Macaca mulatta: one gene and its partner. The protein of the gene in region 1 interacts with the protein of each later gene in a biochemical or structural test. Links are inferred from orthologs where the notes say so. Each region holds a gene or a part of one and is shown in the gene's direction. Other genes may lie near its edges. The genes, in order: CCKBR and CCK.

Region 1 (4,460 bases):
TTGAGGGGACTAAACTTTTATACCTCTGCACTGATTGGTCATTGGATATAGAATGCCCAAGAAAGGGAGCATAACCTTGGATGAGCTGGCTTTCTTCTGCTTAGGCAACTCCTGAAGGGTTCTGACAGCTGAGGGCCATCTTTTAGCAGCACTCTCCGCAACTGGAAAATAAATCCTTCATTTTTGAAGAGAGTTCTGGGCTTTGCATCACAGCATCCAGCACAGGGGTGAAGGATCATAGGGGAGTAAGGCATCAATAATAATTCCTAAATTTCTGATATGTACATCCCGATGGGTGCACTTAACGACCGTATATTACAATCATTGGCTTACTTGGGAAAATCCCCACTAGAGTAGGTGCTACTCAGGGGCAAACTATATTGGACTACTAATGCACACCCCTAGAACTGGCATAGTTTGCTAATTGACAATGAACATTGTGAATGTTCATCTACTTCTATTTTCACTCCCCTCTCCCTTATGTCCTTTGCTCCCTTCCCTCCTCATCGTACTGCCATCCAATGTGGGAAAACTTGAGCAGGTTATCTGAGGCCTCACCTGCGCTGGAGTTGAACAAATAGGAAATCAAGCTCGTCTGGTCCAGGCTCTCTGATGGGCAAGACAGGCAGTGCCAGGAGGAAGGGAAGGAGGGGCAGTTGACGACATCTCAGGCATAAACTGTCTTTCAACTCTCTTTCAATGCTTCAGCCCCTATAAACTCAGAGCTGGCTGAACCAGGTCCTCTCCAAAAGATTGATTGGATAAAGGCCTGCTGAATCCCCCATAAAGCCAGACTCCATTCTCTAATTTGCTCTTCCACTGATGCCCGCCCCCCACCTCTTACAGCTACTGCTGGGGGTCAAAAGACAGAATTTCACATCGTATTGGAGTTCATCTGGAATCTGAAGAATGGATAGGAATCTGGAGATAGGAATCTGGGGAAGAAAAGGAATGGATAGGAGAATGCATAAGGAGCAGGGCTGAAATAGTAGAAGAGGCAAATCCTGCCCTGAGAAGATGAACCCAGTTCAGTCCTGCACCCTTCAGCCCTGTTCCCGCTGCACCCCAGTGACCCAGTCCCCTTCCAGCCCCCACTCGTGGGAACCTGACACCCTACACAGGCAGCTCTGCCTGCACTGAGAGTAAACAGGGAGCCGTTAGCGTGTCGGGTGGGCGTGGGCGCTGCCTGGAGACGGTGGAGAAAGCCAACCGTCTCCTCCTCTTTTGTCTGCGCTGGGCCGGCGTTAGAATTATATCCCATCTTCACGTTACTCGGGTTTATCCTTGTCAGCTCTTGCCACCACCCCCAACTGCCCTCAACACCCAAGTCAGAAGCTGCCTCCCGGGAGCCCTTTCCCCTGGCAAGCCTCCCCTGGAGCCAAATCCTGGCCCCACCCCCACTCCCGCCCAGCTGTGGAGGGCTCCTTGGGAACCTTAAGTGGAAGCCTGAGTGTTGAGCCTCCGATAGGAGGTGAAGGTTGCGGAGACAGATGCAGGAGCTACCCTAGTCCCGCAGCGAGGAGCTGCAGGGAACTACGGTAGCAATAGTGTCACGGTCACTGCGGTCACTGCAACACAGTACCATAAATGCGGCTCTAGGTGCAGACTAAAGCATCCGCGCCTCAGCAGGTGACGCACGCAGACCCGGTCTCCAACGCCACCTCCACGTTCCCTGATACACCAGAGAAAGATGTTGGATCCGTGGCAGCCGTCTCTACCCAACGCCTCCTACCCTCCCTTCCCCAAAACCTCCCGCTACGCTGCCAATACTCTTGTCTTCTCTCTCTCTCTCTCTCTCTCTCTCTCTTTCTTTCTCTCTCTCTCTCTCTCTCTCTCTCTCTCTCTCTCTCTCTGTCATTCCGGGGAATCGAGGGTGGGGGCGGGTGATAAAGAGAGGTGGGCAGGAGAGAAATCTCTAAGAGGAGACAGGACAGATCTAGGGAGGGGGCGAGCCTGGAGGACAGTCGCACAGGGAGGGGCAGAACTCCCGAGCCCGGGAGGGGGTGCACAGTCACCTGGTGGGACAGAGGCTGGCGGAGGGACGGGAACCGAGGCGGGGTGAGCCGCGGGAGAGTGGAAGGGCAGGCGCCTGGGCTGGGGGCGGAGACCAGGCGGGGCAGGGAGGCGGGGAAGGAGGGCGGTGGGAGCCTGAGCCCATCGCAGCGTGAGCAGGTGGAGCCGCGGTGGGAGCCCGCCAGGCCGAGCAGAGTAAGGCGGCGGGCTCCGCCGGGGCCATGGAGCTGCTAAAGCTGAATCGGAGCGTGCAGGGAACCGGACCCGGGCCGGGGGCTTCCCTGTGCCGCCCGGCGGCGCCTCTCCTCAACAGCAGCAGTGTGGGCAACCTCAGCTGCGAGCCCCCTCGCATTCGCGGAGCCGGGACACGAGGTGGGTGCCCCCCTCATCCCCCTCCACAAGCTCTTTCTCACTGTACCCCAGAACACTAATAGAGTCCCCCCACGAGCTCCACACTATCTCCTCAAACGCCCACACCGTGCCCCTCAGCCCCCAAACAGCTCCTCTCACACCTTCACCCCCACAGCTCACAGGTTCATAGCTTCACACCACCTGGTCGGAACTCCTTCACATCCTGGTCCCCTGATTACACCCAGAGCCGCTGCTTGCCCCAAAGCACAGCCCCTTCCCCAACACGCAGCCCCTCCTAGACACCAGTTAGAAGGCGAGGAGCTCCTCTTGCCAACCCTGCAGATCTCCTTTTCCCTCTTACATCCAGTTCACAAAGCCACAACAGAGAAGGGAAGGAAGAAAGGAAGGCAGGATTGGGAAAAGAAGGGGGCTGGTTGAGGGAGGGAGCACTCTGGAAAGCTTGAATGGGAAACCGAAGATGTGATCACATCTGACACCTCAGCCCCCAGGCATCCCAAAAAAAGATCCTCAAATCTGATTTAGGCTGGACACTAGGAGATGCCCCTTAAAACTGCCTGTCTCCATTTCACTCCTCAAACCCCTCTGCCTCCCTAGTTGGAGTTTTCAAGGCTCTGTGCCCTCTCTCTTTGTCTGCAAGTAATGTCTCCAGCTATCTTCCAAGCTCCCTCTTCAGCCCTAGACTAGGTGCTGGGGGTACAAGGCAAACTAGACCCAGTCTGGTCCCTCATGACCCATAGCCAAGTGCAGAGAGAAAAAAGCAAATGGAAAAATCACAGACACAGTGGAAATCCCATGAAAAGGTTTAAACTGTGGGCACCAAAAGAACTTCACAGAGGCTAGAATCTTGGAGCTGGGTCTTGAAGTTGAGTGGGCAGAAAAGGAAGGATGGGATTCTAGTGAAGGAAATAAATTTTTCTAAACTTGAGAAGGGAAAGTTGGAATAAATTGTAATCCAAGTATTTACCCCATGAAATAATCTATGCTTTCTCAGCCCATTTGTTACACACTCACACTTGGATTTGTCATTCAGCCAATATTTATTGAACCAGAGATTGTGCTAGGCAGTGGGAATGTAAGTTGAACAAAACTGACACAATTCCTACTTCACAGAGCTCAAAGCTTAATGGGTGAGACAGACAAGCAGGGGATAGAAGCACAAAGTGGAAGAGCCTTGATAGGGAAAAGATAGTGGGAACACAAGTGGAGCACCTCTAGCCCAGCCTAGCCTCCGTGAGAATTAAGGTTGGCCTCTTAAGGAAATGAGATACAGAGTGAAAAAAATTAGGGAGATTGGCTCTAAGCTTCCTGTTGGAAAAAAAAAAAAAAGTGTGTGTGTGTGTGTGTGTGTGTGTGTGTGTGTGTGTGTATGTGTGTGTGTGTATATATATATATATATATATATGAGAGTCAGTCAAGTAAACAGGCAGAAGAGGCAGAAAGCATCCCAAATAAAAGATGTATAAAAAGCTCCAAGTTTGAATTCATGGCACTTTTATCCACTGTGACATAGTTTTGAGTGGCTACAACATATATCTTAAGAAGGGAATAATGAACAGGCTGGAGACCAGCCTAGAGAGTTTGCAGAGAGCCTACTAGACCTGACCATGGAATGTGGACTTTATCCTGAGGGCAATAGGAACTACTAAAAGATTCAGTAGCACTACCAGGATTAGTTCTATAATGTGGAGAATGGATTGGAAGACATGAGATGGAAGGCAGGGGGGTACTTTAGAAGGTTACTATATTACACTGGTTTAGGTGAAAGATGATGCTAGCTGAGACTACGGTAATGGCAAGGGGGACAGAGAGAGGTGTATAGGTTTGAGAGCCTTTTCTGGAAATGGAATCAACAGATTAGAAGCAGAGAGGATGGAAGAGGTCAAGGGATGACATTCAGATTTCTAACTTGGACAATTGAATGGATATTGGTGCTATAGCAATTGTATACAATGAGCAAGATAACAAAACAGCAGAAATAGGTTTGGAAGAAGGAATTATGAATTCAGTTTGGAACCCATTGAGTCTAAATGTTAGTGGGATCATCCAGGTGAGGTTACCTAGTAAGCTATTGAATC
Region 2 (4,584 bases), on another chromosome or scaffold:
AGGCTGAGGATATCTGCAAAAAGGCCTGAAATGTGCTGAATTGACTCTTGGTTCCAAAATTGTTCTAGGAAAAAAAAAAAAAAAAACAACTCATTACCACATTATTTCCTAGAACCAATACTAGACAATGGCTCTTAAAGCATAAACCTTAGCTGGAAAGTTTTTCTAGTCCTTCTTCTCAGCCCCCCTCTCCCTTTGCCTTCAGCCAATTGTGCCAAACAAACCCAGGAGAAAACAGCAATCACTTGGAAATTTAGATGCCAACACCTAGGATCAACGCTAGCTAAAAAACAACCAAACTCTTCTATGTGACAAACATGAACTAGGAATAAATACTCACACTATAGAAACTGCACGGTTTCTTTGAATATTTTACATATTTCGAAATCATATCAGATTTTTGCTCCACTATAGTATATATTATGCTTAAATGTTCTAAACAAGACAATGCATTCTTTGAGCAGTGCTTAAGAGTTTATCATTAGGAAATATCTGCAGCACTTTCAATGGCCCAAGAAGAAACAATTCTATTGGAGGGCAGTGGGTAAAGATACCTAGAGGCATTTAGTGGACACCTCCCCCATGCCCAGCAAAGCTTCAATGCTACATCTATATTGTCTCTCTCAGTACAACAGCCCTGCACAGTAAGTATTATTATACCCATTTTGCCAGCGTGGAAGCTGGGGCTCTAGAAGCCTGAGTAACCTACATGTTGTTCCGTATCTACGCAACAGCAGGGCTGAGACTCTATCTAGTCCTGCTCCTCCCAGGAGGGCCTGGAAGCCATTCAGCTTCCTAGCTGTACTACCTAATCCACATTTTAAAGTTTAAAAGAGCTAAACCCTTCAGTTGTAGCAAGAGCCCAGAATGTCACTGTTTTCTCAGCACCAAAGCCTTTCTCCACGAATAAGGTGATTCAGCAGCTCAGTAGCTGAGTAACATGCAGACAATCCTGTCCTGAGGCTCGCTTTCCCCTGAGCCCCTTCAAATTCTTTGTGTGATTCAGAGGGAGGCCCGTCCATCTCTTGTGGCCCGTAGGAATTAGACTTTGATCAATTCCATACATCAGATGTAAGCCTCTACTCTATGTCAGCACTGGGAAAGTGAGTGAGGACCCTGGTAAATACACATGACATTAGGACAGAACTGTAGGTGGAACAGGGAAGTCAGGGTGTGTGATAAATGCAGCTTCCACAACTGAACATGGTGCCCCCACCGTTAACTGAGGCTGCTTGCTCGTATTGAAGCTGTCACTTCGCTTCCATTAGATGGAAATTTGGGTGTGCCCAGGCCTTAGTGGGCACTCATCATCACAGCAGGCAGGAGGATGGGTCATGTTTCCACGTGACTGTGTACAGGTAACTGGGTCTATAGGTTTTCCTGAATTCAAAGACTAATATTTCACCTGAACAATGAACAATTAAATAGCAGGGGCTATTTTTCTTCTACATAGGCTGAGGGTATCTGCAAAAAGTCTTGAAATGTGCTGAATTGACTCTTGGTTCCAAAACAGGGAAGGGTTGCGGTTGGGGAGAGAAAGAGTGGGGATGTTGTTCTGTGTTGTTTCTGTTTTTAATTAAACTTGCTTAATTTTATTACCCTGGGTAACTGCCTTTGCATTTTCATTTATCAATAAATAAGCCATAGTCTGACTCTACTCAGCCTATGGGCAGGAGCTGGCAAGCGCAGCTTCATGCAGAAGGGATATAGACCAGCCTCACAGGAGGTGGGGACACAGTGGCCCCCAACACAGTGGGAACCATTGAGTGGTCCCCCACTCCTCTACCCTTGAATTGGTCTGGGCTTTGTTCACTGAGGTCCCTGAAGAACCTTTCTTAAGACTGAGCTTGCACAGGAGAAGGTGTCCTACTGATTTCGTACTCCAGGAGGCTACTGTCTATGAACTTTGAGCTAGGACTATGTCCCATGCCTCCAAATAAACTGCCTCTTCATGTCCCTACTCACTCAGTGTGAGCTCTACAAAAGGATCACACTGTTCCTGAAGACTTAACTTCCATCCCAATGGGACCATTTCAGGTTCAGTTACTGCATTTTGGTCAAAATGGCTGATTTAAATCACCTTTGTTATCACCTCTCTCCCGCCCTTCTTTGAGTATTACTGAGGTGCCAAGATTTTAATCTGACAGTCTTTTTCTGAATATCATTTTTAATTGATATTGATTTATCATTGAAAATAAAATGATCATCAATTCAAAACACTTACTGATAAATGAAAAACACTTTCTGAATGTAACTTTCAAATTCATATTTTTAAAAGAGTATTTATATAGCAAAGGGGCTTTATTTATTTTTTTCTTTATTATACTTTAAGTTCTGGGATACATGTGCAGAACATGCAGGTTTGTTACATAAGTATTCCTGTGCCATGGTGGTTTGCTGCACCCATCAACCCGTCATCTACATTAGGTATTTCTCCTAATGCTATCCCTCCCCTAACCCCCTGCCCCCCAGTAGGGCCTGGTGTGTGATGTTCCCCTCCCTGCGTCCATGTATTCTCATTGTTCAACTTCCACTTATGCGTGAGAACATGTGGTGTTTGGTTTTCTGTTCCTGTGTTAGTTTGCTGAGAATGATGGTTTCCAACTTCATCCACGTCACTGCAAAGGACATGAATGCATTGTTTTTATGGCTGCATAGTACTCTGTGGTGTAAATCGCCACATTTTCTTTATCCAGTCTATCATTGATGGGCATTTGGATTGGTTCCAAGTCTTTGCTATTGTGAATAGTGCTGCAGTAAACATATGTGTGCATGTGTCTTTATAGGAGAATGATTTATAATCCTTTGGGTATATACCCAGTAATGGGAAGGCTGGGTCAAATGGTATTTCTGGTTCTATATCCTTGAGGAATTGCCACACTGTCTTCCACAATGGTTGAACTAACTTACATTCCCACCAACGATTTTATTTTTTTAACCATTCCAACATCAAGATATTATAATTGTGCTACCTTAACAACAAGAGCTCTCCAGGAGTCAGGAATGTTGATGGATATTAAGGGATGAATTTAGGAATAAATAAGTACTGGAAAAATCTTTGGTTGGTTTCTGCTGAGGCCATGTACAAAAGGAAAACACCCACCTACCAAAAGAAAGCAAAAGGTAGGGAGACTAAGGAAAATCTAGGCAAGTCCCCAGCCTGCAAGGCTGGAGAAAATGAATCCACCTAAATACTTGCAGAACGCAAAGCACACCCCTAACTTGTAAATATTGTCCTCTCTCCAGTTACACAGACATTGGTCCTTCTCCTCTCTTAGATTTTGGTCTATCAATTCCACTACTTTGACAGCTCTTTGATACCTTTAAGGTGGTGTCTATTATATTGTGTCTGGCTTTTTCCATTGCTATCCTTCACAAATTGAACTAGAGATGCTTTTAGATGTAATGTCCCTGTTTCCTTCCTCCCTGTCCTTTGTAGCTCCTTCTGGACGAATGTCCATCATTAAGAACCTGCAGAACCTGGACCCCAGCCACAGGATAAGTGACCGGGACTACATGGGCTGGATGGATTTTGGCCGTCGCAGTGCCGAGGAGTATGAGTACCCCTCCTAGAGGACCTAGCCTCCATCGGCCCAACGAGAAGCAACCTCCCAACCCAGAGGAGGCAGAATAAGAAAACAATCACACCATATCTCATTGTCTGTGGAGTTTGACATTGTATGTATCTATTTATTAAGTTCTCAATGTGAAAAATGTGTCTGTAAAAATTGTCCAGTGCAACCACACACCTCACCAGAATTGTACAAATGGAAGACAAAATGTTTTCCTCATCTGTGACTCCTGGTCTGAAAATGTTGTTATGCGATTAAAGTGATTTCATTCTGCCCTGTCATTCCCTGCGTCTACTGAGGGCAAAGGGCTCCATTTGATCCTTAGAACATGCAAGGAGGGAAGCCTGATAGATGCTATACCAGGACAAATCCTTGTAGTAGATGTCCCCAGAAAGGGCTTGGGAAATGCAGCTCAGGCCTGAAGCTAACTTTGCTACAGGCCAGCTGGACAGTGAAAGGGTCATCTGTGGGCAACTCCAGAGCCCAGCCCTGGCCACCCTGATCCCCAATCTTATTTGCCAATCCTACTCCCACCAGGGTTTCCTTGGGGTTCTCTTGGCCTTTCAACAAGTTACAGGCAGTAACTGGCCATGGTTTTGCGTACATTTGATCACTCCATGGCTCTGTGGCACAGAGGTTATCATCCTTTCTTTACAGATGAGGAAACAGGCTCTGAAGAGTGAAAGTGACGGCCCTTATGCCCCAGCTAAGGAGATTCACACACTGGAGGTCTTAATGTTCTGAGGCTAGCGGGACCTTCATCACTCTAGCATTTCTCCAACTGAGTGCACAGGAATCACCTGGGGAATCTTGTTAAACTGCATGTTCTGATTCAGCACATCTGGGCGGAAGCCCGAGCAAGTTCCCAGGTGATGTCAATGCTGCTGTTTGCAGACTGTACTTGGAGCTGCAATGGTGCAGAGAAGAGCCTATAATTGCTTTTCCTTGAGCCCCACCATGTTTTGGAGTTGGTGGGACTCCAAAGTGCTGGGGAGACTCTGGTAGTTATACA

The links.
Region 2: the proteins of CCKBR (region 1) and CCK form a complex in vitro, tested with the Homo sapiens proteins (3 studies listed by BioGRID). The link is inferred for Macaca mulatta from reciprocal best matches to the Homo sapiens genes CCKBR and CCK.

Annotation. Positions count from the first base shown.
Region 1 is NC_133419.1:59,528,887-59,533,346, reverse strand, and holds the start of CCKBR (gastrin/cholecystokinin type B receptor), read left to right. Parts: upstream 1-1,623; 5' UTR 1,624-2,234; coding exon 2,235-2,385; intron 2,386-4,460. UniProt on the Homo sapiens protein: Receptor for gastrin and cholecystokinin. The CCK-B receptors occur throughout the central nervous system where they modulate anxiety, analgesia, arousal, and neuroleptic activity.
Region 2 is NC_133407.1:105,587,537-105,592,120, reverse strand, and holds the end of CCK (cholecystokinin), read left to right. Parts: intron 1-3,439; coding exon 3,440-3,573; 3' UTR 3,574-3,845; downstream 3,846-4,584. UniProt on the Homo sapiens protein: This peptide hormone induces gall bladder contraction and the release of pancreatic enzymes in the gut. Its function in the brain is not clear.